Elephas maximus indicus: one gene and its partners. The protein of the gene in region 3 interacts with the protein of the main gene of each other region in a pairwise test. Links are inferred from orthologs where the notes say so. Each region holds a gene or a part of one and is shown on either strand. Other genes may lie near its edges.

What was found.
Region 1: the proteins of HNRNPUL1 (region 3) and PRPF40A interact in a two-hybrid assay, tested with the Homo sapiens proteins (2 studies listed by BioGRID and IntAct). The link is inferred for Elephas maximus indicus from reciprocal best matches to the Homo sapiens genes HNRNPUL1 and PRPF40A.
Region 2: the proteins of HNRNPUL1 (region 3) and PRMT2 interact in a two-hybrid assay, tested with the Homo sapiens proteins (2 studies listed by BioGRID and IntAct). The link is inferred for Elephas maximus indicus from reciprocal best matches to the Homo sapiens genes HNRNPUL1 and PRMT2.
Region 4: the proteins of HNRNPUL1 (region 3) and HNRNPF interact in a two-hybrid assay, tested with the Homo sapiens proteins (3 studies listed by BioGRID and IntAct). The link is inferred for Elephas maximus indicus from reciprocal best matches to the Homo sapiens genes HNRNPUL1 and HNRNPF.

The regions. Positions count from the first base shown.
Region 1 is NC_064824.1:49,938,615-49,945,835, forward strand, and holds the start of PRPF40A (pre-mRNA-processing factor 40 homolog A), read right to left. Parts: upstream 3,020-7,221; 5' UTR 2,764-3,019; coding exon 2,368-2,763; intron 1,355-2,367; coding exon 1,223-1,354; intron 1-1,222. Other genes in the region: ARL6IP6 (ADP-ribosylation factor-like protein 6-interacting protein 6), read left to right, coding at 3,767-4,166, 6,074-6,127.
Region 2 is NC_064820.1:232,067,812-232,075,365, reverse strand, and holds the start of PRMT2 (protein arginine N-methyltransferase 2), read right to left. Parts: upstream 3,006-7,554; 5' UTR 2,910-3,005; exon of another isoform or gene 2,851-2,909; intron 1-2,850. UniProt on the Homo sapiens protein: Arginine methyltransferase that methylates the guanidino nitrogens of arginyl residues in proteins such as STAT3, FBL, histone H4. Acts as a coactivator (with NCOA2) of the androgen receptor (AR)-mediated transactivation.
Region 3 is NC_064829.1:109,911,900-109,919,442, forward strand, and holds the start of HNRNPUL1 (heterogeneous nuclear ribonucleoprotein U-like protein 1), read right to left. Parts: upstream 3,017-7,543; 5' UTR 2,858-3,016; coding exon 2,587-2,857; intron 1-2,586. Other genes in the region: AXL (tyrosine-protein kinase receptor UFO), read right to left, coding at 6,911-7,262.
Region 4 is NC_064834.1:6,681,083-6,688,425, reverse strand, and holds the start of HNRNPF (heterogeneous nuclear ribonucleoprotein F), read right to left. Parts: upstream 3,008-7,343; 5' UTR 2,923-3,007; intron 2,597-2,922; 5' UTR 2,531-2,596; intron 2,313-2,530; exon of another isoform or gene 2,216-2,312; intron 1-2,215.

The DNA of each region.
Region 1 (7,221 bases), on a different chromosome or scaffold from region 3:
GAATCAGAGTTGTCTCTCCATCATATAGGGAATTTTAAATTTTATGTTACTCTACAGTCACAGAATAAACAGTTCTTTTATTTAAAGAACACCTACAGGCAGAATCTTTTGGGCCTGTGCCTTTGAATAAAGATTTTTATACAAAATTAAGGGCTATATTCCAAATAAAAAAGAAGAAAACCACTTGACGTTAAGCCCTTCTATTCTTACGGTTAAATAGAAAGAGACACAGAGCAAGCTCCTTTCGTCCACTGCAATTGCACTATTAACTTTAACCATCGTGACTTAAATTATTATCAAAGAAAACAGTACTAATTATCAAAAGATCAAATCAAATCGACTGGTTTTTTTCAAAATATTTTGTTAGCCTAAATTTCTGATGATTTATCAAGATACTCAAATGGAAATAACCCAGCCACCTAAAGGACCTGTGTATTATAGGACTTAATACAGAAAACATGAAATTATCCATAGTAACTTAACCTGTTAACTTTCTTGAATGCTCTCCTAGGAATTCAGTTCTATCAGCCACTGAGTAAGCCTTAAAACCTTTTGATCTAAATCACTCCTACAAAATGTCTATTTACAATTCATGCTCGAGATGGAAGGGACGGCTCAGAAGCAGTAGTGCAGAAGCAATACAAATTTTGCTTAAACAAAATAGTATAAATGGAAAATGAGCTACCTATTTGACAGCATCCTATGAAAAATCAGAATTATGAAGTAGGAACCTCATCAGCCCCGCCTCCAACATACACACAAAAGAAGAAGATATTTCAGGAATAAAATATAGAACTCATTCTCAGTTAATGGCTTAAGCAATTCCTATTTTCAGATCCTTTGTATTCATCTTTTATGGCCCACCAATATAAGTTATGTGACATATCAGATAATACTTATTCTTAGAGCGTTCAGTTAAATTGACATCCTTAAAAAAAAGTCATTAAACTAAAAAGCCTAAATGTACCTTGTTAATTTAAAAAAAAAAAAAAAAGAAACTCTTAGTTTTGTTGAGGTAGGAAATAAGTTTTTCGTACAGAAGACTTTTGATACATTCAAAATTTGGTTAGTCATGATCCAACATTTGCTGTATCTGAAAACATTATTTTGACATAAACTAATCCTTAAACAGCTATAACTATTTACCCAGACTTCATCTTGACACAATACTAGAAGACAAAAATAAATGGAAAACAAAACAAAAATACAAAAATATTCTTACTTGTCCCATTGGTGGCCCTCCCATAGGGGGCATCATTTGTGGCATCATTCCATGAGGTACAGGTGGCATATTCGCTCTCTGACCCATAGGGTGCATTCCCATGGGGGCATAGTGCATGCCAGGGTGTCCCATCTGAAAAATAATGAAAACTAAACATCAGCAAGTAACAGAAAGAGCTTCTCAAAAATCTCAAATGAGTTCTCTGCAGTGGCTAATATTAAAGTAATGTGTGATTGAATTACGCAGATAGTTTATACTCTCTTGTCCTATATTAACAAAAAATGCACTACAGTGTTTATAACAAGCTTGCAACTGCCATATTCCTGAATATAACTTGAAACCATCATTGAACATCTAGATCAATTTAAAAAGAAAAACTGATTTAATCAGTTACTAACTGGCTTGCCAAACTTGAACGAAATTTATGTAATAACTACTTTAAACTCTCATGGTGAAAGCCACAACTTTGTCATATTTCACAGATACAAAAGAGAACCATCTATTGCTATTTTATAACGCTTTTTTTAAAACACGTTACTTAAATGACTTTAAAACGCTAAATTTACCAAATTAACTCAGATGAGAACTGGTCTTAGAAAAGACAGATAGGTACCTAGGGACACTTCACTCCTAACAAATAAACATATTCTTTCCTAACACAACTTTTAAGACAGGTAAAATTCTTCCGGAAAAAATGCAACTTTAATGCTCTTTAAAAAGACAACACTTCACCTAAGTGTCCATTGTTCCAGGTCTTAAAACCAAGTAAATTTCCTGCCAATGCTCCCACTGCAGACACCCCCACTACTAGTGAAAACAAATTTTGGCAGCCTCTTTTAAAGTCTACAAAACCAAGTTTCCGCCTCCCTCTTCCTGCTAAATCAGGCCTACCTCTCCTAGACGCTTACCCCGCCCAGGGCCCAGCATCTCCACCACGCCTCTGCCTACGCCAAGCCCACCGGGAACTTCCAGGGTCCCACATCCTTCCCTTTGTGCGTCCCCGCCCCCCATTTCTCTCCATCGGAACATATCCCACCATCTCGAGCGCTTCCTCCGTCCACTCTTCTCCTCTTTGAGAAAGCTTCCTGTCTCTCTGACTCCGTTTTTCATTGTGCCACTTTCCCCCTTCCCCACCGATCCCTTACCGAGGGCCGGCTCCTCAGGAAGCCGTCAGCAGAGACCCAAGAGCTGGAGCAAAGGCTTGAGCCGGGCAATCTCCGCTCCCCGTTCCCGGGACCCCGCGACGGAGGATGGCTCTCCATTTCACTCACCATGAGGCCTCCACGCTCTGCTCCCGTCCCCGGCCTCATCGTCGGACTCTGACTGCTCCGCCGGCGGCCACTGCCGCTACACATGCCAACAAGAAGCGATCTGAGTGGCTGGCGCCCGCCGGGGCCAAAGGTTAAAGGCTGCGCTGCGCTTCGGGGCGGGATCAGCGGGGCCAATAAGCTGACAGGCTTCCCCGAAGCCCAATCTGAGTGCGCGGCCGGCACGCAGCTCTGCGGCGATTCGCCCCCAGCCTCACTCGACGTCGCCTGCATGGAGGGGGGGAGGGGGACGGAGGAAGTTTCTGCTCCGAATCCTCCGCCGGGAAAACTTCACCAACTTCCCCCGGGGAAGAGAAGATAACAGTGTCCCAGCTTCCCTAGTTGGGACGGCCGCACTCCTCCATAGGGGGTGGGCAGCGGGGGCCTGGCGCCTTCACCGCCCCCAACCAAGTTACGTACGCCCCACAAACCTGAAGCCGCCAGGGGTACGGTGGGTGGGGGTGGGGTAGGCAGCTTCTAGCGTTAGCGGTGGCTGCGGCCAGATGGCGCGCGCGCAGTGCTCGAGACAGTGGGAGGGGCAAGGAAGGGAGGGGGCGGGGAAGACGGGAGGAGGGGCCCAAAAGAAGAGAGTTCGAGGTAGGTAACAGATCGGAGAGCGCACGCCCTGGCAGAAGAGAGGTAGAGGCGTGTAGAGGGCGTGGAGGGAAGGAGTGGTAGGGGCAGAGAAAAAAAGATGCGGAAGAGAGTTAGGAATGGGCGGTTAAGGCAAGACACGAGCGCGTGGCGGTGAGCTGCTCTTAAGGAGGAAATCAGGGAAGAAGGCAAGCAAAGAAAAGGGAAAGAGCAAATAGGTTCGGGAACGTGTATCGGAGCGGCATAGGCGGGCGCTAGGACCGGGTGTCGGGAAGGTGCGGCATTGGAGCTATCAGGGCGCGCGCCTGCCTAGAGGTGACGCGGCGGTGGCTGAGGTCTCCGGCCGGAACGAAGCGCTGCAGGAGCCAGGCATTCGGCTACCTTCGGTCTCGGCTCGCCTGCCGCTCCGCGCTTTGCTTCTCTCCCTCCGCATTGCCAGACCCTGGGTCGGGCTCTGGTCCAGGGGCGTTCGGGCTCTTTAGGAGGCCCGTCTGCTTGCTTCCCGCCAGCTGCGAACTCCTACGCACCCCTGCACGCCAGAGCCGGGTGGTCGAGGCCGGGATAGGGCCCGGGCGCTGATTGGCTGCTGACGGCCCAGGGTGGGAGCCGCTCCGCCTCCGCGGGCCTCACGGTCTTTCCCGCCATGTCGTTTGTGGAGAGCGGGAGCGTCTTGGCTTTGCGGCGCCGCCGACTTGGCACTCGGGCCCCACTCCCTCGGCCGGTGTACTCCGCCTTCTCTCAGGGGGACGGTTGGGGCGAGGGCGAAGTCGACGAGGAGGAGAGATGCGACCAAGTGGCCCGCGACTTGCGAGCCGAGTTCTCGGCTGGGGGGTCGTCGGAGCTCAGGAAGGGCTCGCTGCTACCGCCGCACGGGGACGGTTCACCGGTTCTGCCCGATAAGCGCAATGGCATCTTCCCAGCGACTGTGGGCGGACGAGCCTCGGCTCGGCGGTGGCCGGTCCAGGTCCTCTCTGTGCTCTGTTCGCTGCTATTCGCCGCCCTCCTCGCATTCCTTCTTGCCATCGCCTACCTGATAGTAAAAGGTACTGAAGCGCGGGCCTGAAAGTCTGCCCAGAGCAGAAGTTGGGCCTGGACGCGTCCCTCGCCTCCATCTCTCCCTCTTTTCACCGGCAAGCTGGCAGCCTCTTTCATTCAGAGTCGTCGTCTGCACCTTTCTTTGCTCTTCTCCTTTTGTCTTCTCTTTCCCAAGGTGGAAGACCCTGGTCTGTGATCAGCAGACTCTTTTTTAAGAATGATTCCTTTGATAAATGGGTACTTCTGAAGATTTAATATCTTAAAATCAGTGACCACTTGGGGTGAAATATTGAGAAAAGCAAATTTCAGAAACACCATCATTAAAAGGAGACGGTGAAAAATGGGTGTAATTGAAAAGGCTACAGGTTCAGTGGCTTTGATCCACCGATCCCTCTGTACACTCACAGAATTCCTGGAGGACAAGAAGTTCTAGCCCACAACCCAAATTTGTACTTGGACGGGTAAAATAATTAGTCTCTCTTAGTTTTATGTTATATTTGTAGCTGGGTGTAGTAAGTAAAGTTTTACCGCAGCGTCCGTAGGGTTTTTTTTCCCCCCTTTAGTAGTGCCTGAAGTTGAAATATTGGCCAGATTGGAATAAAAATAGATGTGCCTTGAAAGGTTTTGCAGAGGCTGATACAGATGTATTATATGGTTGGGTACTGCATATAAAAGTAGAAGGATTCATACCTGAGTTTAAATATCATTTCTGAGTAGTGAATGTGACCTTGGCCAAATTATTGGAAAAAAATATAAAACGAAAAGAACTACCTTACTTTGTGTATAGAACACACCCGACACATCTCTGAAGTGTCAGTTTCATTTGACTAAATAGTGTATATTTGTTTAACTACAGTTATTTTTTACTCGTTGTTTCCCAGCTCCTAATGGGCAGCAGATAGCATCTAACAGCTTACAATGCTTGATTGTAAGAAGATAGACTGACAAGTTACTTTGTGAATTTTACCTCTTCATGAGATGGTAAACTGTGAATATGAATTACTTGGCTGCCAATGTTTTATTATTTTATCACTCCTTCTCCTCTCCCCTTATTTTTTCACAGCAATTCTAAGAGACAGTTTTCTAGGTACAGGCTTCCCTTGATATCTGAATGTAGAGAGTTCCTGTGAAACATTTCTTAAGCTGAAATGGCGTGAAACAAAGAAGCATTAACATTAATTTATATGGGAAAATTTTTCGAGCATTTCTCAGGCCCCAAAACTAACCTACCAAATCATACCAAATAACACTACCAGGCAGTAAAAGCAGGAATGATATACAATGCTGAGATGCTGAGTATAGTTCCCATGGAAGGAGCTTGGCAATGCCACTGACTGCTCAGGGTGTGTATTGCATCTTTAAAGGCTCACTGCAAAACAAATGGCTGATGGCAGTTTCCACTTTTTGCCTCTTTTTGTAAAAGCAAAAATCCTCTGGATTTTTTTTTTGTTAGTGAAAACAGGTACTAGCGTAGGTCTTTTGTAAAAGCGAAGTGGTGTAAAGCAAACTTTAGAGAAACAGGTGATACCTCTACCTTTTGTTTTTCTCTGAAAGATTGCCTTTGCATCATAAAGTCATAAAATTGTTGTAAATTGAAGTTCATTGCAGAAAACATTGAGCTGTTTTTATACTAAAGAATGGGGGAAGGAATTGAAGTAAGACCTGGTATGCTCTGCAATTGCTATTAAACTGTTTTCACAGCAACCCTATGAAGTAAACATTAGCTTTCCCATTTATAAGGTAAGTCTTACTTGATTCCTGAAGATCACGTAGCTAGTAAGTAGAATCAGAATTCGAAACCAGTTCTTTGACTCTGGAGTACTTTGCACAACTTCACAATGTCACCCAAGCCTTTGATTACTTCACATTACGAAATAACTTTATTCTTTACCTAGCCCTCTCTTTGTATTTACAGAGTTGCATGCTGAGAATCTGAAGAATGAAGATGGTGTAGACACTGGGCTGTTAGGTATGGACTTAATTTGATTTAAGGTCCACTTCTGCTTTTCAAAACATACTTAAATTGTACAAAATTTTAGATAAAATGCCCAATATGTTCGTCTGTGCCCTTGATTCAGTCTTTGATTTGCGTATATATGTGATGAGTTTTTATTATGTTATATTTATAGATGTATGTCTGTATACACACACACACACCCATTATAAAATTTTGGAAGTACATTTTGAGTATTACCATATGTGATTCGAGTCCCTGGGTGGCACAAACAGTCAAGTGCTCAACTACTAGCCGAAAGGTTACCAATTCAAGCCCACCCACGGACATCTTGGAAGACAAGCCTGATAGTCTGCTTCTGAAAGATCACAGGCTGGACTAGTTCTACTATGCACACACGGGGTTGCCATGAGTCGGAATCAACTTGACAGCGACTGATAAAAATATGTGACTCAAATCCATGGGATACTTAAAATTTTCTAGTTGTCTTCGGAGGAGGCATTCCAGGAATTAAAAAAAAAAAAACCTGATAAACTTAGCAAAGATAACATTTTAAGCAGAACTTTGTAGATATTTAAGTTCAGATCCCTTTATAAGCAACTTCTGTTCAAAAAAAAAGGCACATTGGGTGTACTTGCATAAGTTAATGACTAGTAAAGAGTTAGACCTGAGTGTGTGTAGAGTGCATTAGTTTACGGAAGGAGCCCAGTGGTTAAGCACTTCGCTGTTTACGAAAATGTCAGCAGTTCAAATGGACCAGCCACTCCGTGGGAAGAAGATGTGGCGGTCTGCTTCCGGAAAGATTTACGTACAGCCTTGGAAACCCGGTCCTGTAGGGTCGTGATGAGTTGGAGTTGACTCAGTGACAGTGGGTTTGGTTAGTTTACAGACTTTCAACGAAAAACTCTCAAGAGTTATTTATCCTGTATTTGTTTCCCTCCACCAAGAGCTCAGAGCCCTGGTGGCACAGTGGTTATGAGCTTGGCTGCTAAACAAAAGGTTAGCAGTTTGAACCCACCAGCTGCTCCTTGGCAATTCCATGGGACAGTTCTACTCTGTCATTATGAGTCGGAATCAACTCAATGGCAGTGGGTTTGGGTTTTTAGGTT
Region 2 (7,554 bases), on a different chromosome or scaffold from region 3:
GCCCTATCGTTCGCATCAATGCTCTTTCAACAATGCACCCGTTAGGCTCCTTGTGTTTAGGTGCCAGGCCCTCACTATTGTAGCTGGTGCTGCAAATCCAGTGCCAACTCACAGGCACCCTACAGGACAGAGCAGAGCTGCCCCCAGAGAGTTTCCAAGGAGTGGCTGGTGGATTTGAACTGCTGGCCTTTTAGTTAAAAAACTGAGCTCTTAACTGCTATGCCACCAGGACTCCATGCCCTCACTAGGTCCTCAAATATGATGCGACATATTGACCATACAATGAATGTCCTCAGGGCGCAATGTGATGTTTTCCCAATATGGTACAGGACCATGGATGACAGAGCAAACCTGACATGAAACACACAAGAATCGGAGCTGATGAACCACCCAGGCCACCAAACAGCACAGACCTGGACAGAGGGCTGGCACACACCTCAGCCTATGCTGAAAACCAGCCCACCCTAACTTGAAGGCCTGTGTTTTCAGACCCTAACCTGAAGAGATGGCTGGGCCAAGACTTTACCTGATTTGTGTGCAGGGGTTCTACCAAATATTTCATTCCAACACTGTAAAAAAGGATTGAGAACTGCCAGTGAGATTGCCCCCATGGTCTCATCTGGTAAAATGAATCAACAGGCGTTTAGTGCACTGGGACCCTGCATAGGTACTCAGAGCTCAACGGGCTCATGGCAGCCATGCACCTGCCTGCTGCCCTCCAAGCTCTGCAGCTGGGATTTGCTGTGGCCAAGGAAGGGGGAACAGAAGAAAGGGACACTTCCAGGCAGAGATTAAAAGTCCATCGGCATGGTTCCAGGCTGACAGCCACCACAAGCAGGGCGCCTCTGCCAATCCTTGCAGACTCATGACATCAACAAAAAACTAGGTTAAGCCCCAAACTTTTGTTGATTTTTGGTTACTGCAGCTTAACCAACTTGGATGAGCAAACTGCAGCTGTTTCTAAACCAGATCTCAGTGATTTGGGGGAAGTTTTTGTAGGATAATATAGCCTGTCTTAACTGGCACAGAGAGAGAAAGATCTTTCTTGCTTTAAGCTACTGAGATTCTGGGACTGTTTGTTTCTGTGCCATAATCCTGACTGAATACGAGGAGCTTTCAACTCAGCAGAATATAAAAATAAACACATAAAAAGTGAAATTATATTACATAAAAAATTAAGGAACAGCAGAGGGTTGAAGGTTATGTTAGTTGATAAATTCCTTTGAATTCTAAGAGTCTTGAGGAAAAGATAAGAAAATTTCAGAGAAATGGTAAAATGTGACCTTGATCTTAAAGGACAAGTTGGATTTGGGCAGAGGAGGAAGAGGGCACGCTCGACCCAAGCAAATGTGGATGATACAGCCCGAAGAAAATCAGGAAAGAGCTGGATGTGGTGGGTGGCGCAGTAGCCCAGCCAGAATGGGGGAGGACCAGGACAGGGCCAGGACAAGGCCAGGATGGGGTCAAGCAAGGTCAGGGCAGCTCCTGCTCATCTAAGGCTCAGTGGGGGAAAAACCCATTGCCTTCAAGTAGATTCCGACTCATAGCGTGCTATAGGTCCGAGCAGAACTGCCCCATAGGGTTTTCAAGGAGTGGCTGGTGGATTCCAACTGCCAACCTTTTGGTTAACAGCCAAATGTTTAACCACTGCCCCACCAGGGTCATAAGAGGTCAGGAGAAAAGGGAAGATGAAGCAGGAATGATGTGCAGGAAGCACAAGGGACTAAAGGAGACGGGGAGAGGGGTGTGAGGTCAGGAAGAGTGGCTGGATGAGGACAGGGTGTGGTGAGGGAAGAGGTGGACAGATGGTGATGGATGGAGAAGGTGGAGGGAAGGTGGGTGTGATGGAGAGAAGGGAGAAAGGAAAGGGGGGTGGTGGGGAGAAGGGGGGAGGGAAAGAGGCATGGTGGGGAGAAGTTGAAGGGAAAAGGGCATGATGGGGAGAAGGGGGAGGGAAAGGGGCATGATGGGGAGAAGGGGGAAGGAAGGGGCGTGACGGGAAGAACGGGGAAGGAAAGGGGAGTGACGGGAGAAGGGGGAGGGAAAGGGCTGTGATGGGGAGAAGGGGGAGGGAGAGGGGAGTGACAGAGAGAAGGGGAGGGAAAGGGGCGTGATGGGGAGAAGGGGGAGGCAAAGGGGAGCGACAGAGAGAAGGGGGAAGGGGCGATGGGAAGAAGGGGGGAGGGAAAGGGGCATTAGGGGGAGAAGGGGGAGAGAAAGGGGAGTGACAGGGAGAAGGGGGAGGGAAAGGGTTGTGATGGGGAGAAGCCGGGGGAAAGGGGGGTGACAGAGAGAAGGGGGGAGGGAAAGGGGGTGATGGGGGAGGGAAAGGGGCGTGAGGGGGAGAAGGGGGAGAGAAAGGGGAGTGACAGGGAGAAGGGGAGGCAAAGGGGTGTGATGGGGAGAAACCGGGGGGAAAGGGGCGTGAGGGACAGAAGGGGGGAAGGAAAGGGGCGTGATGGGGAGAAAGCGGGAGGGAAAGGGGTGTGATGGGGAGAGGGGGGAGGGAAAGGGGTGCGGTGGGAGGAGACAGGAAAGACAGGGTGGCGCAGATGTGCGCAGAGGAGGGGGCATGATGCAGGAAAGGGAGTGTGGCAGTGGAGAGGAAAGGGGGTGATGCAGAGGAAGGGGAGCAGAGGGGCGGGGTCCGGAAGGGGTGCGGTGCCGGAGGTGCAGGGCGCGGAGGGCCGAGCTCGCCGTCAGTCGCCAGAGCGCCGAGGAGACGTCGGGAAGGCGCCGACCTGTCGACCCTTCCTGCCGACCCCAAAAGCGGGCGGAGGCCTCGGTCCTGCAGCCTCCTCAGCACCCGGCCCGCCCTCCGAGGCACGGCTGGGGGCGAGGGCCCCTTACCTGGAATGTCGTGCCTCAGCGCACGGTCCAGCCGCCCGCTGCAGAACCAGGAGACCTACCTGAGCCGGTTCCTCTGCTCAGCGCCGCTGGCACCGCCGGCCTGAGAGGCCGATGGTCCCCGCTAGGCGCCAAGCCACCGCCCTCGGCCCGCGCAGGCGCAGTGCGCGCAGGCTCTCGGAGGAGGAGGCCCCGCCCCGATCGGGCGCCCGCGCGCAGCCGCACTCCGCGGGCACCGCCTCCCGCGGCCGCGCGAGCCCCGGGGCCCAGCACCGCCCCCATGCGGACAGTGGTGGGCGTGCGGCCCAGGAGAGGAGTGGACTTGTGGGGTGGTGAGGGAGCCAGGCTGCCCCGGGAGGGGCGGGCAGAGACCCTCCTGAGCTGAGGGAACTGCCCGTTATGGACGACGGAAATGGAGCCAGAGTCCCCTACCTGGACTAGTTCGCTTAACCTCCCCACCGCTCTGCGAAGTGTAGACTGTTAGTCGTTCTTTACGGTTGAAAAATGGAAGCACAGTGATTAGGTTTTTGCTTCGCAAAGGGGAAGTTTGGGCTTGAAAGTAAAATAGCCAGGATAAGGTCAGCGTCCGCTAGGCGCTTGGAGAGGGCCAGGTGGGGTGGCACCCAGCGGCTGCACTTCCACCGCAAATGCGGGGAACAACCGTTTTAAGGACACTGGAGAGCTGTGTAACAACAAGCACTAGAAAAGCTGAAATTCCAGGGGGCCTCCCCCCACCCCCCTCAGTGAGCTCACTCCAACCTCATGCACTGTTCATCCCCAAGGCATTTGCAGATTCTGGGCTTGGAGGACCTGGCATGGTCCAAGCAGAAGGACTCAACTGGGAGAGGCAAGGGATCCCCCTCCATCCCCAGAGGAGCTTTTGATGCCATATGAGCTGGCTTGATAGATTGGAAATAAGAGTCCCAAAAGCAAGGCCGAGACATTTGGCTGAGTTCTGGAGCAAATGGCGGGGGGGCGGGGGGGGGGCCTGAAAAGCAGAGTGAAGTGGGCCCCAGTCTCCAGTGCTACAGAGAGAATTTGCAACAGACAGTATCCCCCTCAAGACATTTGCTAAATACTGTAGTTGCATCAAATGAGAAGCTAAAGAGCTAATTTAAGGCGGGACTCAGTCTTCTCTAATTCAGGGTAGAGGGGGCTAAGGATGCTCTCAATCCAGAGCCTGGGAACTACCGTGGGAGAATGGAGAACTGGAAGTGGACTGTGTCTCACTGGGGCTATAACTCAACCCCTTTCAGCTTAAACACTGATTGGATTTAAGTCATCAGCCCTTTAAGCAACCTAATTAAGGGGTAAGGGAGCTTCCTCACTGGTAGAAGATCCCATGTGAAACTGGTATGGTCCTTTTATGAACAAAGTCCAAAGTACAATAAAAATGACTAGACATGTGAGGAGGCAGGAAACATGGCATATAATCAAGAGGGAAAAATGTAAAGTAGAACTATAGATGAGGACTAAGATGGGTCTCAAACTCACTCAAGCCATGGTGTTTTCAATCATCTCATATGCATGTGAAAGCTGGACAATGAATAAGGAAGACTGAAGATGAATTGATGTCTCTGAATTGCGTTGGCGAAGAATATTGAATATACCATGGACTACCAGAAGAACAAACAAATCTGTCTTGGAAGAAGTATAGTCAGAAAGCTCCTTAGATGAGAGAATGGCAAGACTTCATCTTACATACTTTGGACATGTTATCAGGAGGGATCATGCTTGATAAAGTAGAAGGCCAGCAAAAAAGAGGAAGACCTTTACAGAGATGGATTGACACAGTGGCTGCAACAATGAGCTCAAAGAGCAACCATCATGAGGATGGTGCAGAACCAAGCAGTGTTTCGTTCTAGTGTATATGAGGTCGCTGTGAGTCAGAACCAACTTGATGGCACTTAACAAAACAACATAAATGATCCAGATCCTGGAGTTATGAGACAAGGAGTTTAAAAAAATGAAAACTGATATGCTAAAATTTTTAAGGAATTGAAAATAATACAGTATCTAAAATGATGAACACATTGAATAGCTTTAACAGCAGAAGGGATATGCAGAAGGTCAAGCACAATCAACCTAAAAACAGATCTAAAAATTATATCCAAACCATAGCACAAAGAGAAAAAAGAACTGAAAAAACAGAGCATATAAGCGATTATATGGAAAACAGTCTAGCATATATGTTATTGGTAACCAGCAGAAAGCACTATGTAGTCATGAAAAAGGGATGAAGCGAAGCACAGCCAAGATGGTGGAATAGACAGACTCTTCCAGCAAGCCCTCTTTACTACAAACAACCGAAAAAACAAGTGAAACGAGTATATTTATGACAAGCTAGAAGCACTGGTCATCAAAGGCAAGCTTAGAAAATGAACAGAGGGGCAGGGGGAGGAAGAGACAGTTCAGAAGCGGAGAGGAGTTACCGGACCTGAATCAAAGGGAGCCCTTAGGCACCATTCCCAGAGCCGCAGAGGCAGGCCGGTACTAGCATTTGGCCGCAGTTTCCTCAGGAAGAAGCAGCCAGCCACACAGCCTACTCATACCTCCAGAACCTGAGAAGAACAGCGCTCTTGGCAAAAGCTAAGTACTTGCATGTATTTTACTGTACCCCACCCCCACCCCTAAGCCAGCTTCAGCAGTTGAATTCCCAGGGCCTGAGATACACGTTGTTGAACACCTAGAGCCATCCTCCTGGCCTTGGAGAAGGAAAAAATTTGCATTTGGGGGAGAAGATAATTTGCCAGCATCACTAACCAGGGGAGCTCAAGACAGAAGCAGCTCCTGTCCAGGCATAAACAGTCTGTAGACTTTGAGCACATTTCCCCTGTGCATGGACCTGTGTTGGCCTATTTCAGGAGAATAGGCCCTTATTGGCAGACTCCAACCATTTCAGCTGTGTGGTGCAGAAGTGGGTGTTTGATGTTTCACATTGCTTTTCCTATTAAACAGGGTCCTCATCTACCCACATCAGGGGCCTAAGGACTCGTAGCTCCACTCAGGTCACCAAGCCACCCGTGACAGGAGCCCAAGGATAACTGGTACCTCCCAGTCCTTACAACCAAAAACATTAGGTGCCCATGGTCCACCTGCAGAACCCAGCCACCTGCACACTCTAGAGAACAGGGACATGCTTTCCTCAGAGACATTCGGGGGTCAGTTCTCAACTCCCTGCCTTGTTCAGAGTGTGACCCCCTGCTGCAATCAGATACTAGTACCTACACCAATCACCCCTGTCCCTCTAAGACTGTAGGACAGAGCCTGTACCACATATTTGATGATCAGCTACCTGGACACCTAAGCTGAATTCATACAAGAAAAGTGAATGGACTCCTAGGCTGATATATGTGATAACAGCTCTAGCCATCTGGGGACAGGATGTCAGAGCTCCAAAGGCAAAAATAATCAAGCTAGCTCACTCAAGCAACCCATTTGGGCATATCAAAACAAAACAAAGCAAGAAGCTACAACATAGCAAGCAAGCATAAACTAATACAATAACTTATAGATGGCTTGGAGACAACAGTCAATATCAAGTCACATAAAGAAACAGACCATGATCACCTCAACAAGCCCTCAAAACAAAGAATCAAGGGGTCTTCTAGGTGAAAGTGCATTCGTAGAATTAGCAGAGGCAGAATACAAAAGATTAATATACAGAATCCTTCAAGACATCAGAAAGAAAATGAGGCAATATGCAGAACAAGCCAAGGAACACACAGATAAAGCAATTGAAGAAATTAGAAAGATTATTCAGGGACATGATGAAAAATTCAATCAGCTGGAAAAATCCACAGACAGACAGCAATCAGAAATTCAGAAGATTAACAATAAAATTACAGAAGTAGACAACTCAATAGAAAGTCAGATGAGCAGAATTGAGCAAGGAGAAGCCAGAATTTCTGAATTTGAAGATAAATCACTTGGCACTAATATATTTGAAGAAAAATCAGATAAAAGAGTTTAAAAAAATGAAGAAACCTTAAGAATCATGTGGGACTCTATCAAGAGAAATAACCTACGAGTGATTGGAGTACCAGAACAGGGAGGGATAACAGAAAACATGGAGGGAGTTCTTGAAGATTTGTTGACAGAAATCTTCCCTGATATTGTGAAAAATGAGAAGATATCTATCCAAGATGCTCATTGAACTCCACTTAAGGTAGATGTTAAAATAATGTCACCAAGAAATAATCAAACTACCCAATACCAAAGACAAAGGGAGAATTTTAAGAGCAGCTAGGGATAAACAAAAAGTCACCTACAAAGGAGAGCCAATAAGAATAAGCTCAGACTACTCGACAGAAACCATGCAGGCAAGAAGGCAATGGGATGACTTATTTAAAAAATTGAAGGAAAAAAATTGCCTGCTGAGAATCATACATCCAGCAAAACTGTCTCTTAAGTATGAAGATGCAATTAGGACATTTCCAGATAGGTAGAAGTTTAGGAAATTCATAAAAACCAAACCAAAACTACAAGAAATACTAAAGGGAGTTTTTTGGTTAGTAAATCAATAATATCAGGTATAAAACCAAGACTAGAACACTGGGCAGAGCAATCAGAAGTCAACCCAGACAGGGAAATCCAAAAAACAAAGCAAGATTTAAATTAAAAAAGCTCAAAACAGGGTAACAGAGATGTCATTATATAAAAGAAGACAACATTAAAACAATAAAGAGGGACTAAGAAATGTAATCA
Region 3 (7,543 bases):
ACGCAAAGGCTACACAGGTGACAGCTCAGTGATGAGGATGGAGAACTTGCCTGGGACTGGGGTCACACAGGTGAAAGCCCAGGGGCGGGACTAAATCCAGAGTACCAAACCAGAAACTCCCTCAAGGAAGAAACCTTACAGGCAAACCCAGAGAGAACTTTAGAAGCCGAGGATGGGCAGCACCAGGCTGTGTACCCCAGGGGCAAGCTCTCTGCTAGGTGCCTTCAGGGCCCTGCTAGTGGCTGTGCCAGGAGCCGTGAGGCAAATCCACAGGGAAGGAGAGACTACCGTGCCACCCGCTAACTGACTAGATCCTTCCTCAGAGAACAAGTACATCTGGGCCCAAACCAGGTACAGCCCAAAGGGAGAAAAGTCACATGGTTTGCTACAGGTCTGTTTACCAGGGCTGAAGAAAGGGTTTGGGTGGAACGTGAACGGGGCTCAGAGGATTTTGCTGGTGGGGAGACAGAAAGAAATAGAATCTTCTGAAGTGGAACACAGGGGCCCTTTCAGACCATTCTGCCCCTTCCAGGCTGCAGGCAGAGTGCTCTTCTCCCCACAGAGCCTGTGTCTCTCTTCCTAAGCATCTCTCCTGTGTTCAGAGGCAGCCTTGCCAGGAGCAGAAGCTACGACTCTGGGATCCGTCTCCCCTCTAATAGCAGGCAAGCCCAGTACTAAGCCCTCCATTCATGGGACCTCATTAATGACAATCCTGATGGGGCACTATTATTACCCCATTTTACACAGGAAGAAACCAGGGCTCACAGATATGAGGTGGCTTGTCCAAGTCATGGGGCCATGTCTGCCTGGGTCTATGCTCTGAAGCACTGAACTCACCTTCCTCTCAGTGACACCTCTAGCCAGACATCCAGGTCTGGACTGCCTGTGGCCCCTTCTTCCTAGGCATTCCCTACTGTGGCCCCTTCTTCCTAGGCATTCCCTACACACGCACACCAGGCAACTCCTTTTTCCTCTGCAGGTCCACAACACCCTCTTCCCAGCACCCTGGGTCCTGGACAATCCTGAGCCGTCCTACCCCCAAACCTACACTGTTGCCCCATTACTCATGAACGAATACCCAGTGCCAACCTCAAATCTCATCTCTTCCATAATCAGTTTTTTCTCCCCTTACTCCTGTAGCCCCAAGCCCCAGGATGCCCTCTTCTCAAACAAAAACCACAAACCCTGGACACCAGAGTTCTTTCTACTTACTCGTTAAACTCTACAACCCCCTACATCCCAGTCCTGCTAGAAAGCTGCCCTTTTCTAACTCCAGATTCATTCCCTCCCGCAATAGGGTCTCCTCTCCTCAGACAACCCCAGCCCTGGGCACCAAGATCTGTCCTATCCCCTCTCCTTCCCAATCACCCACCTCCTGGCTGATGCTCAGTTACTCCCCCCTTCTCCCTCCCTGGCACACAAATAACTGCCTCTGTGGACCAAGTGCCCTCTCTTGGAGATAAGTGCTCAGCCCCAGAAACACTCCCCCATTACACCCTGGGGCCCTCCCCCCATACCCCCAGTCAAGTCAACAGGTTTTCCTTCTCTTTTCACATTCTACATTCTTCTCTATTCAGACATATGCTACACATTCGTCCGTGCTAATTAAGAGTCTTGTTCTCCAGATACTCCACTGACTTCAAACTCCACCCCCGGGTACTCCTGCTCCCCTAAACACTTCACACTATTAACCGCAGGCTACTCAGCAGTAGCCACTGAGTTCTCTTATCCTTAGAGCCTTCCCACCTCTAGATCCCCAGGTCCTCTGCCCAGTGGAGCATCCTCCTTTCCCCATTGGCCAGTAAACAAGGTCCCCTATGCTTCCTCCGAGGGAGGACAACCTGAGGGTCCCAGATCTCCCAGCACCAAATGCCCAGGTTACCCTGCCTCAAGGTTGGCCTTCAAACCCTGGATTCTAGAATCCCCAAGACCATCCTCAGAGAGATGCTGATCTCCCATATCCCCTAAACGTTCTCCAGCCAAACACCAGAGTCCCCAGTCCATCAGACCCCTCCCCAACCACAGACACCAAGAACTCCATCTCTCCAACCCACCCCAGCCTCAAAGAGAATTCCCAGTATCCCACCCAGTCGCAAACTCCAGGAGCCTCCATCCTCAAACTTCCAGGCCCGGATAACTGATTATTTCTTCCCCAGTCCTGGAAACAAGGCTCCCGATCCCCAGCCCCTTGCGCTGCGCTAGTACAGCCCCCTGTGATCAGCATTTCCACGACCCTCCTCAGCCCCCCACGCAGAATATCTTTTATTTTTCGGACTCTTTCCGACTCCAGAAACCACGGTTTCCGGTGTCCATGACCTGCGCTGGGGAATTCACTACACCCCCGATCCTCCTAATCTCCGAAACAGAGAGTCCCCCACTTCCACTATCTCCCCTACGGCGAATGCCAAGATCTACTCTCCAGTCACCCCGAGGCCCTTGTCCCTAGATATTTTTCAGCGACAGGTCGCGGGATTCCTCCCCATCCTTAGACCATCTCCCCGGACTCAGGCGCCGGACTCCCGCTCCCCACAGCCCTTCCTTGGCCCGGACTCCGGGCTCCCCGGCCCCCGCCCCGCGCACTCTCACAATGTCCGTCCGGCCCCGAGTAGCCGCCGGGCTCCGGGTGCGGCTGCAGCCCGGGCGGCGGTGGCTGTGCGGTCCCCTCCAGCTCGGAGCCCCCCTCGGTCTCGACCTCCTCGTTGTTGTGCCCAGGTCGCCCCGGTTCGTCGTCGGGCTCCTCGGCCTCCAACGCCGCCTGCAGCCGCTCAGCTAGGTCGGCCTTAAGGCCGCGAGTGTCCAGGCCGCGGCGCTGCAGCTCCTCGCGAAGTTCGTTCACCTTCAGACGGCGCACATCCATGGCCCGGGCCCCCGGGGCGGCCCCCGAGCCCGGACCGGCCTCCCAGGGCTCTGTCCCCCTTTAAACCTTTCCTGTCAGGAGGCGAAGGGGGAAGGGGGGGGGCCCACTCCAATGGCGGCGGCGGCTCAAAATGGCCGCCGCCTCCTCCTCACCCGTGGCCCCGGTGCGATGCAACACAGGTCCTGATTGGCCACCACGTGGGGGCGATGGGCGCGGGCCTGGATATTTAGCCAATCAGAGGGTGGCTTTCAAAAGAACGGCAATAAAAGGACCAGGATCTGCCGGGGAGGAAGCGTTGGTCTACGTCGATGCCGCGACTGAAGCGGAGGGCGGGAAAAAGCGGGAGGCGGAGCACGCGCTGATTGGGCAGCGCCCGCGCGCCAGCTCCCGTAGGGTCAAATGAGGGAAAGGGAGTAAGGACTTGGCCCAATCAGAGATGAGATCTCAGAATGAGCGCCCCACAGACTTTCCTGTGCAGTCCCTTCAATTAAACTAATGTCTCCGTAACATACATTTTTATTGGTCTAAATCTCCCGCCCCTTGAAGAGACCAAGCGGGTAAAACCACTAGAACCAATCAAACGGAGGGTTGGCAGATACCCCTTTTTCCTCTGTTGCCTTTAAGAAACCGGAACGAGATTAAGTAACGCAGGGCCCGCCCCTTGCCGTTAGGGCGGTTTCAAAACAATTTATCCACCAATCGCAGTTACCCTTTTATCTTACTAAAGCTCGTATAATCGGATCGCTTTAGGAACAGCTAATCGGATTGGCCGCTCTTCAGAGGCTGGCTTCGAGAGTCCGGCCGTGGAGAAAGGTATACGCAAAAGAGATGAAGTAGATAAATTATTCTTAATCTGGTATAAACTCAGTCGCCTTTATGAAAAACAACATTTTGACTTCAGAGAGTCCTGAAGGTTGGAAAGGAGAGGCGAGATGAATGGGTGAAAAGTCGTAAAGGCCCCTCCCCTTTGACAGTACATCTCACAGGGTGCCTTTTTCCTCGACGGCTTCGCGGCCGCCTTCTCCGTGGCTGGCACCTCAGTGGAATGGGCGCTCTGCACCCGACCATGGAGCCTTCCCCTCCGCAGAGACCTCCAGAAGTTCTTGGCTGTTTTACCCCAAATCCTCTAAACTCCCGTTCAGTTAATCTGGCTGTTTGGCGACTAGAACTGACAAGCTAAAACACAAATCCGTAATTAAGCCGCACATTGATAAACAAACGCTACGAAGTTTCACAATGTCTACTCCGCTGCACCACCTGTCGCCTCTAACTCAGACACAAAACGTCAGTAAAATACACAATCGAGATACACAATGCAACCGCCCAGTGCCCACTGAGGCACACCTTAATTCCACAAAAGCAGCACACAGCCTCAACTTTGACAAAGGCGTCAAACACAAGTGAGTTACATCAGATGCATCAATCCAGGGCATAATACACCAAACTGCAGTGTCGATGTGCCCTGTAATGTCTGCACAGACCAACAAAAAACCCAAAACGGGCGGCATCAAATGACAAAGACACACAAAACATTACAAACTTCCAGCAACCTAGACACACGGCGCCCACTCAGAAGCGGGGCAGACACTCACGTGGGTCCGGAGGTTCCAGTCCAGACACCCCGCCCCTCGCCCACGTCCGACTTCCTCTCTCCTCCCAGCTTTCCACAATGATTTGTTCTAAAAGTTTATGGCCCGGATTGAACTGTTCCCAGTTCTCAGGATCCGCCACTGGGGGGCGTCCGGGCGCTGCCAATAGGTCCGTCAGCCGCAGGACACACCCAGGAACGTGTGCCCGCAAGAGTGTTGCAAGACACAGTGGGCTTGTCTTGGCGGGAGTCTCTTTTTGGGCTCCTGGTTATCGGAATTGCCCTGTGCCTTTTCTATATGAGTTTGAACGTTTGGGTCTGTGAAGACCAGTTGCACCCTATGTATCTCTGAGTATTTGTGCTACTTGTCAGCCTTCGTGTCTGTTAACTCTGTGTGTATCTGTGTTACTCTTAAGTTTTTCCCTATTCCTGGTGAGTATCTGCCTGTGCGTGATTGTAGATATGTTTGGACCTGTGTTAACTTTGTGCGTCTGTTATTTTATGTGCCTCTGAATTTCAGTGTCTGTATTTGTGACCAGGTGTGCCTGAGTATGTCCATTAATTCATTTGTTTTGGTACATTGGATCAGAGCCCTGGTGGGGCAGTGGTTAAGAACTTGGCCGCTAACCATAAAGGCCGGCAGTTGGAATTGACCACCCACTCCTTGAAAACCCTACAGGGCAGTTCTACTCTGTCCCGTAGGGTCGCTATGAATTGGAATCGACTGGATAGCAATGGATTTGGTTACAATGGGGGTCTCTGTGTGACCCTGTATCGATATGCCTGTACCTCGCTGGGGATTTCAGAGATTCTGTGTTTGTCTTTTTGTCTATACGTACGTTCATATCTACCCTCTTAGTGACTCTGAGACCCCACCAGACCCTTCTTTTTATTGATGGGGAAATTGAGTTGTCCTGACAGGGAAAGGGGCCACATCACAGCTGAATGGAGACAAGAGGAGACAGAGGCGTGGTTACAAAGATTTATGTGACCTGAGCCCCAGAGGCACCAGAGTCCACACTCTATACAGAGGGGATGAGGGACTGGCTCAGGGGGGCAGCATGGCCCAAAAGGGGAGAGATTGTCCCCTGGGGGAAAGGAGGTATCCCTAATGCATTGCACAGGCTTGAGGGGGGCACACCCCCACATGTAGGGAGGAGGAAGCAAAGGTGGTTCAGGAGGGAACAGGCACACAGAAGAACACTAAGATTAGAACCTTGGAATTGTACTAATAGTCTAGACCTGTGGACCTTTATAGGATCTTAGAAATTTAGAACATTCGTGTCTTAGAACTACCGTGCCTAGAATCTTAAAATTCTAGAAATATGGCTTCTTGAATGCTTAAGAACTAAAATCCTAGAAAGACAGAATGTAGCATAGAACCTAGAGGTATCCAACATTAAAAATGATTAGAACTTTGGATTCTAGAATCTTAGAAACTTACAACTGTGAGATTCTTAGAACTTTAGATGCTTAGAATCCATAATTCTGGAACAGTAGAATCTAGAGTACCTTGGAATAGAACAGACCAACATTAGAATCTTTTGAGTTTAATAATCTAGAATCTTGAAGCATATGATCTAGAACCTTAGACACAGAGAATCTAGGTTCTTAGAACATCACATCTTCGAATATTAGATCTTAGAACCTCCATGTTTAGACTCTTCAAACTTCTGAATTGCAGATTTTAGAATCTTAGACCCTTAGGTTCCAGAATCTCTTAACAAGACAATCCAGGATCATAAAGCCTTACAACCTAGAATGGACCACCATTAGACTATTAGAAATGGACAGTAGAAAATCTTGAAGACTTATGGTCTAGAGTCTTACAGCCAGAGGATCTAGACTCTAAGAGTATTAGAACATCAAGTCTTAGAATATTAGACCTTAGAACCTTCATGTCTAGAATTATAGAATCTAGAATCTTATACTCTAAGAACTCAGAATCCTAGAAAAATAAAATCTAAACCACAGCCTTAGATCTTAGAACTTGAGTCTCAGCTCTTTAGAACCTAAAATCTTGGTGTCTTATCAAGAATCTTAGAACAAGAAAATCTATAGCCATAGAATCTCAGAGCCTTAGAACATTAGGCCTTCCGATCTCCATGTGTAGAACCTCAGAACTTTAGAATTGGAGACTGGAATTTCAGGTCTTTAGAACCAAAGACTCGTAGCATCTTTGAAATCTAGAACCTTTGAATCTAGACTCTTTGGACCTTAGAATCCAGAATCTTGGAATGTTAGACCTGGGAGGACCCTTAAGGGCTGCAGCCCAATGACTTCCTTTTACAAATGGGAATGCCAAAACCCAGAGGAGAAGAATGTGTCTGGGATGGAGGTGAAGTGGGCCGGAGAAGAGGGTGCAGTCAGAGGAAAGGCCTGGGGTGGGAAAGTCGGGGGAGGGGGTCCCCCAGTGGCAGTGCCTAGCTTGGGTCCTGAGAGGGAGTCTCGGGTGGAAGGTTGTCTCAGGCTCCATCCTCCTGCCCTGGGAGTGCTGGGGAGCCCCTGTCGGCAGGCAGGGTGGGACCGGGGGCTGTGGAAGGGCAGAGGACATAGCGTCCAGCTGGATGGACCTCGACTGCAGTGAGACAGCTGCAGGAATCCTTAGGATCAGGCTGGGTTGGGGGGTCAGCTCCTCCAGCAGCTCCAAGGAGTTCAGGATGACCCCCACCCTCATCCATGTTGACGTAGAGGATTTCATCTGGCTCCTGAGCAGGGGGCAGGGCCTTCAGCGTGTTCTCCAGGTCCTCCCGCAGTTCTGCAAAACTCGGCCGGTCCCGGGGGTTTAACTCCCAGCAACGGGACATCAGGGCATACCTAGGGGAACAAAGTGAGGGGTGGGAGGCTGAGCAGAGGCTTGGAAGGAGAGCATTTGAGGAGTTTGGGGGGCATCTTAGGACACTCAGGAGACTGGGAGGCATTTTGAGGGGTAGAGAGAACCTCAGCAGTTTGAGGGCAGCTATGGGCATTTGAGAATCCTCAAGAGTTTCTGAGGGGGTCCTGGGAGACTGAGGGGCTAGGAGGGTCTTGGGAAACTTCTCTGGGTATGGGGTGGTGTTCTACTGGGGGTTTGCTAGAGAGCTTCCCAGTGTGGTTCC
Region 4 (7,343 bases), on a different chromosome or scaffold from region 3:
TATAAAAACATTACACAATCAGTGACATCTGAACACTGGGTATTTGATACTAAGCAGTTGTTTTAATGTGGTTGTTTTTAAAAATCCTTAGAAGTACAAGCTCAAATATTTATAAATTAAAATGTAAAATAAACTAGGCTGGGCCCTAATCTCTACCTGCCCATCAAAAAGAGCCAGGCTCAGGGCAGCTGTCACCGGGGAAAGGAAGCCCTGTTAGGCCAACCTGAGTCCTTGTCCCAACTGTGTCCCTGGGCAAATAACTTTTCTCCCAGCCGCCGTTTTAACAGCGTACCTCGCTTACATTGTATGAGTATTAGAAAATGCGGTTAAACCTACAGCTGAGTGCCTAGGCCTAGTAAGCGTCAGTTAACGTGGTTCTAGAAAGAGTACAGCGCCACAGCTCAGGTGATGGGGGAGGGGTTGGCGCGATGTCACCGCCTCCGACGCCGGGGCCTTATCTCCACTAGGGGCAGCCACTGAGGACAGGCTAGACACTGAAGTCTCCTCCTGTCCCCATAGCCCCTCCAGGCACCTACCCCGAGAGGATCGAGTCTTGAGCCTTTCTTTCCTTCACGGTTTGGCCACACGCGAGGGGAAACCCTCCCATTTACTCCTTCCCTTAAATCAGTTCATAGTTTTACTTGAATATTTTATGTTTAAAGGAAAGCTTTTAATACTAGCCTTAACTGAAAGAAAAAGTTACTTGGAAGCTTAAAAAAAAAAGGAACAAAAAAGTAAAGATTATCAAAGAAAAAAATAGATTACAACATATAAACAATACGTTCAATTTATAAATATGCACTGGGTATACAAGAATAAAAGATGCTCAAAGCGAAGCATGGATTTAATGTCAGTAATTAATCTCTCCCAATACTGATTAAAATAAACCTACTCCTTATCTTGAAATGAAAAAAATTTTGTCTAAAAATGAGCACCGTAAGTATCACTTTTCACTGATACATCATATCTTTTGTCTAACCGAAGAGCCGGGAATATTTTCACTTACTAAAAACTTTCAAAAACACGCACTGAAAATATATTACAATCAGTTTCGGTGTTTTTTTTTTTTTATAAAAGGTCATCTGTAGTTTTCGCAACTCTCCCCGCGCCAGCAGGTTGCGGCCCCGTCCAGGCCGGGCCACCCCGGGCGGTCCCACCTCGGTCGGCCACGAGCCGCAGGCCCTCCCGCCCTCAGAGTCCAAGCAGCCGCCAGGAGCCCCAGAGCCCCGCAAGCAGCTGCGGAAACTAGAGGAGCGAACCCGCCCGGCCCTCCCGCGGCCGAGTTACTCGCGCACCGGCCGGCCGAGGCGCCCCCAGAAGTCATGCGGACGGAGGGCGCCACGAGGGAGACGGCGCGGCCGGGCGCCCTGCCCCTCCCCCACCAGACGGCGCGGCCGCCTCTTCCGGCGGGAGCCAGGCTCCGGGGCCAGGCGGCTCCTCCGAGCGGCTGCGCCGGCCCGGGGCCTCCCGAAAGGACCAGGAGCGAGGCCTAGAGTGGGGCCGTCCCCGAGCCCGCTCCCCGCGTGGCTCCAGGCCGCGAAAACCGCGCGTCCGCGGGCGGGCCGGGCGCCGGGGCGGGGGCGGGGGTCGGGTCGGGTGGGGGCGGGGGCGGCCGGCGCCATCATGCTCATCAGCACCCGCGTCTGTTATAGCAAACGGACTCGCATGAAGGGAGGCGCCAGGCCCAGGGTCCCGCAGGCCGGCTCGGCAGCCACTGTCCCGGCGGGGAGGGAGCGGGACGAGGAAACGGAAGTGGAGACGCGAGGAGACCGCTCTGCGCTCAACTGAGGCGGGAAGGGCGACCAGAGCGCGGGCTGCGGCGTCCGCGAGTCTCTTAGCAGAAAGTACGTTCAAAGATACCAAGTAAAGGAGAAACAAGGAGCTGACTGAACTCTCACCAAAACTGCGCTCACGAGGCAAAAGACAAGCACCAAAGATTTACATCCGAAAAACGGTGCCTCCACGGAACAGCGAGACACGCAGAGACGGAAGGGCCCAGAGCGGGGCCCCTGAGGAGAGAAGGCTCTGGAAAAAAGTCTCCAAGGGCTGAAAATGGTTCCCGGGAGAGCGAGAGCTGGGGAGGAGGGCGGAGCTGCCGTTTCCCACAGTGAAGTCGTACACTTGAACCCCCATCATGTGCTGCCTGCCTCAGAAGAACGAACTCCTTCCCCGACTACGGCTCCGCACCCCACAAGTGGCGGGCCTGGCTACTCACCCTTCCAGTCCGCTCCGCCAGCCGCGGCCTTACCGGAGCCTTCCGCACACTCTCTGCTCTCCGCCGCGAACTCAAGCCCTTCCCGCCGGGCCCATGGACCCCGCCTACCGATTGCTAAATCCCCCACAGTCCCCACCCCTTGCTGGCCCGTCCCTGCCGCCCCGTCCCCGGGTGTGCGCCCTTGACCTCAGACCCCGCCCCCACGCCTAATCTCGGCTCCGCAGCCCCCACGCCCAATTCTCCCAGTTCCCCGCCCCCGGGTGAGCGCCCTGACCTCGGGCCCCCCACCCTGTCCCGCCCCAGGTCGCCCCTCACCTCGGGCTCGGAGACTCCACGCTCTCGCTCTTCACATCCGGCACTTCCCTCGTCCTGCCTGAGTACCTAGAAAAGGGTGGAACGCGGTGGACTTGGCAGTTGTACCAGAGGCAGTTGAGGCTTGTTTACCATCACCATGGAAACCCCTGCGAGCGCGCCCGGACGCCCCCCCAGGGGGCGGGGCCAAGCGCGCGGGCGGGCACGAGCTTACAACTCCCGCCGCGTCGTGCGCACCCGCGGCTTCCGGGAGGCCCCGATACCATCGGCGTCTCCGGCCCCTGCTCGGCCCCACACCCTAGGCTCCTGAGAGCGGCAGCCCTGGAAGTCTGCACCCTCGCCCGTCTGCCGACTGCTGGCGAGACCGCGGACTCGTCCCCCTCGCTGATCCCCACCTTCAGCTCTCGTAAGACGCGACGCAGTCCTGGTTCCACCGCGGAGCCGGAAGAAGGAAAGGACCAAGGCGGGGCGGGGCCTCCGGGGCGGGCATCTAGGGGGCGGGGCCTCGAGGGCGCCATTGTGACGTTCCCGTAGCGGAGCAGGCGATTGGCCGTGCGGGCGTGGGGCGGGGCTGATGCCGGCGGAGACGAGAGACGCTGAGGCACTCTGGTCCAATGACCTGGACGGTGCTCCTTGGCTCTGCCCCCTCCCTGTGGACTCGACCCGCTCTCCTTCCGCGCGCGACCGGGGTTTAGCGGGCTATTCCGCTCGCGAGGCCTCCTGGGAGCTGGGCGGGGCTGGGGCCGCCAGCGCGCCATTGTGACGCGCCCAGAGCGGAGCTAGCGATTGGCCTGCTGGGGCCGAGGCCTCGGGGGAGCCACTCCGGAAAGCGGCCGCCCGGAGCAGGGACGTTGTGGGGAGAGGCGTAGCGGGACGGGCCAGGCCCTACTCAGGGGAGGGAAGTGGCCCACTGGTCACTGCCGAAGCCCTGGAGGATACGGACTAGGTTAAAAATTATCCCCGATGAAAACAAAAAAAAGAGCCCAAAGGAGCCCTGCAGTGAATAGACGCGTGAGAGAAGAAAATAAGTTTTGCTGAGAGAGGAGACAGAACACCTGAGGCGTAGTAAAGGCGTCTTTGAGTGCTAGGTTTTAAAGCCGGATTAGTCAGTCTGACAGACGTTGCCCACGTGTCCCGTGGCTCGGAATCACAGAGCCCCGGAGCCGATGGACTGAGTGGTTAATGGCTACTCTGCCTGAGGCAGTGAAGCAGATTGTCTTGATCGAGAAAACCCGTTGCCGTTGAGTCGATTCCGACTCATAGCCGGAAAATTAAATAATTTGAGGTGTAATTCCGGCTCATAGCGACCCTATAGGACAGAGTAGAACTGCCCCATAGAGCTTCCAAGAAGCACCTGGTGGATTTGAACTGCTGACCTTTTGGTTAGTAGCCATAGCACTTAACCACTTCGCCACCAGGGTTTCCGATTTTCTTGACAGGTTCCACTTTTGGAACTGCCTTCATAAAGGGAAGATATAAGGTATTTATCAACAGGGTAAGCAGATTTACAGGAAAAAATTAAGGGAGTGCTTGGAATTGTGTCATATTATGAGTGGATGGCCATAATGAAGAAAGGAGTGCAGTTAAAAAAGAAGCTGGCTCCAGGGAAAAAAATAATAGAAAATGCAGGTGTCAGAGGAGGTGCAGATGTGAGGAGGAAATTAATTTGAGGTATAATTCTGACTCATAGTGACCTTATAGGAGAAAGTAGAACTGCCCTATAGGGTTTCTGAAGAGTGGTGGATTTGAACTACTGACCGTTTGGTTAGCAACCAAGCTCTAACCACTGCACCACTAGGGCTCCTCAAAAATTAAATAGGTATTCTTAATAAGAAACCCCAGAAAGACTCCCTTCACAGCACATGTTGCAGAAAGGCACACTCTAGGTCCCACAAAGAGACGGGACTTTAAGGCTGGCTCATAAACAAAGCCCTTCTCTGCCTCCCTTTCCCATCTGAGAGAATGAAGGAAATGAGAAAGCAAATTGAATTGTCCAGTTACAGTATAGGCCCCGTCCAAAGGAAATATCGCTCCTTAAGACCAGGTGCTCTATTAGGCAGTGGCGAGGGATAAGATCCCTGCCTAATGGAGTCAGAAGTTGTAATAAATTTTCCAGGGTTTTATCCCATTTCAGCTTTCATTTTGCAGATAGGAAGCAGGCAGGTTTAGCAGTCATAGCATGGTCTGGTTAACTTTCTGGACCAACACAGAAAAATGCTCCTCTGAAGCAGCACTGCCTGCCCCTTGGTGGTGCAGTGGTTAAAGCACTCAGCTGCTAACCAAAAGGTTGTCAGTTCAAACCTACCAACTGCTCCTCAGGAGAAAGTTGTGGCAGTCTGCTTCTGTAAAGATTTACACCCTTGGGAACCCCATGGGGCAGTCCTACTCTGTTTAGGATGGCTGTGAGTTGGAGTCAACTTGATGGCAGTGGGTTTTGGTTTTGAAAGCAGCACCAGTGCTTATTCACGGAGTGCATCAGCATGAAGGCTGGACCCTTGGATTAATTACAGTTCATTCAGAGGGAACAGCCAAACAGCACTTTCATGTGTGTCAAATAGTGAAAGAGGGGTTACGGCACTCCCCGTGCTTGATGGGTATTTGCTTGAGCTGGTTGCTTTGCACAAGAGCAGACCGCGGTGGACTGGGTAACGTTGGTCAAGTTGGGGACCGTTCCCTTGCGCATTTCCCAGGCAGGCTGGGCTAGAGACTGGAGTCTTGGCATGCACATTAGTGAAATGAGTTGGACGTTAGTGACTCGAGGTCTAGCTCTGTCTCTATTCCAAGTCTTCAGCGTTTTGGTCCAATCATGAGTTTTCCCATTATTAACCGTTGGATGCCTTTACCTCTGCAGACCCTCAGGACCGTCAGAAAACTTCATGTGGATCAAGATGTGCTGGGGGTTGGGGCGGCTTGCAGTTTTCCGTCTCCAACTGTCTCTCTCTCTAAGTAACTAACTTTTTGAAAATGATGGAATACTTAACACATAGGGAAAGTTACAGATAATATTGTAACAATTTTTCAAAGTGTTGTCATTTTGCCCTATTTAGTTGTTTTTGGATAAAAGATTACAGATAAACCAGTGATGTGATTTTTAACTTACTATAATACAGTTTTTGAATGAAGAAATATTTCAAATTTTAAGAAATTTTGGAAACAGTATTTTGGGGTTTATTTATATTAACTGACTCATGGTGACCCCACGTGTGCCAGAGTAGTGTGCTCCGTAGGGTTTTCAATGGCCGATTTTTTGGAAGAAGATCGCCAGGCCTTTCTTCTGCACTGCTTTTGAGTGGACTCGAACCTCTAGCCAGGGGCTCCACCTTAACTTTAAACCAAAAACTTATTGCCATCGTGTCTATTCTGGCTCACAGTGACCCTATTGGACAGTGGAGAACTGTCCCACAGGGTTTCCAAGGCTGTCATCTTTATGGAGGCAGCCTGTCATATCTTTCTCCTTTGAAGCAGCTGCTGGGTTTGAGACACTAACCTGTTAGTTAGTAGCTAAGCACTTTAACCACTGCACCACCAGAGCTCCTTCCACACTAACTTAAAGTAATTTTGGTCTTTATCCTTGATTCCTGAGCAATAGGAAACCCTGGTGGCGTAGTGGTTAAGTGCTACGGCTGCTAACCAAAGGGTCGTCAGTTCGGATCCGCCAGGCACTCCTTGGAGGATGTGGGGCAGGTCTACTCTGTCCTGTAGGGTCGCTGAGAGTCGGAATTGACAGCACTGGGTTTGTTTTTTTTGTTGTTGTTGTTTCCTGAGCAATAACTCTAAACCCTTGGAATTTCTGAGAAATTGAAGTGCTGTTTTTATCTGTAGGAGCCATGGCGGCAAGTGGCTAAAGCCCTCACCTGCTATCCAAAAGGTCACTGGTTCGCACCCACCAGACACTATGAGGGAGAAAGATATGGCAGTTGGCTTCAGGAAAGATTTACAGCATTGGAAATCCTATGGGGCAGTTCAACTCTGTCTTATAGGGTCTCACTATGAGTTGGAATTGACTCCACTGCAGTGGATTTGGTATTGTTTGGGTCGTTGTTGATAGGCCTTCAGACCACACCTGAGAGTTTATGCTAATGTGTGACTCAAGTGAGGGGATTGCCAAACCAGAACGACCACTTTGTGGTATCAGCTGACCTCAAGGGAGACGGCCGTTTCAATGAACCCTGACAAAGGCTGTGGCCACTGAAGTTCCGTGGGCTTTCCGGTTAATGAAAGTGGGGGGTAACTAGTCCCTTCTCGGGACATGGAAGCTTCGCATTGGAGACCTTCCTAGGCCTCCCTTTATGTGTCTTTTCTTTGTGCCGATCCTGATTTGTATTCTTTGTAATAAAGTTGGGATCATGGTATAGTGCTTGCTGTGAATCGTTCCATCGAATTCTCAAGCCCAAGGGAGTAGTGGGAGCCAGCAGGTCAGAAGTGAAGGGGCTGAGAATGCCTGAGCTTATGGCTGGTATCCTGAGGGTATAAAGGGCACCCCCGGATTTGTAGCCAGCAGGTCAGAAGTGATGGGAGCCCTGGGGAGCTGGGGCTGGCATTTGATGTCTTGGGCAGCCTTGGCAGTCTTGAGGACTGTGTCCGTTAACTTGTGAGGTCTGACCTAGCTCTGGGTGGTTAGGGTTGGAGGAAGAAGTGCTGCATGGGCAGCTGATGTCAGAACACAGGTGGCAGAGAAGTGAAAAGTGGGGATTCTGTTTTATGTTGATTATTATCCTTATAAATATATAGTCAGTGGGAAGCACTGATGCGTTGGGAACAGGGAAGTAATAAAAATTTGACTAACAGACCATTGCTTCCTTGCTACTCTAGCTTG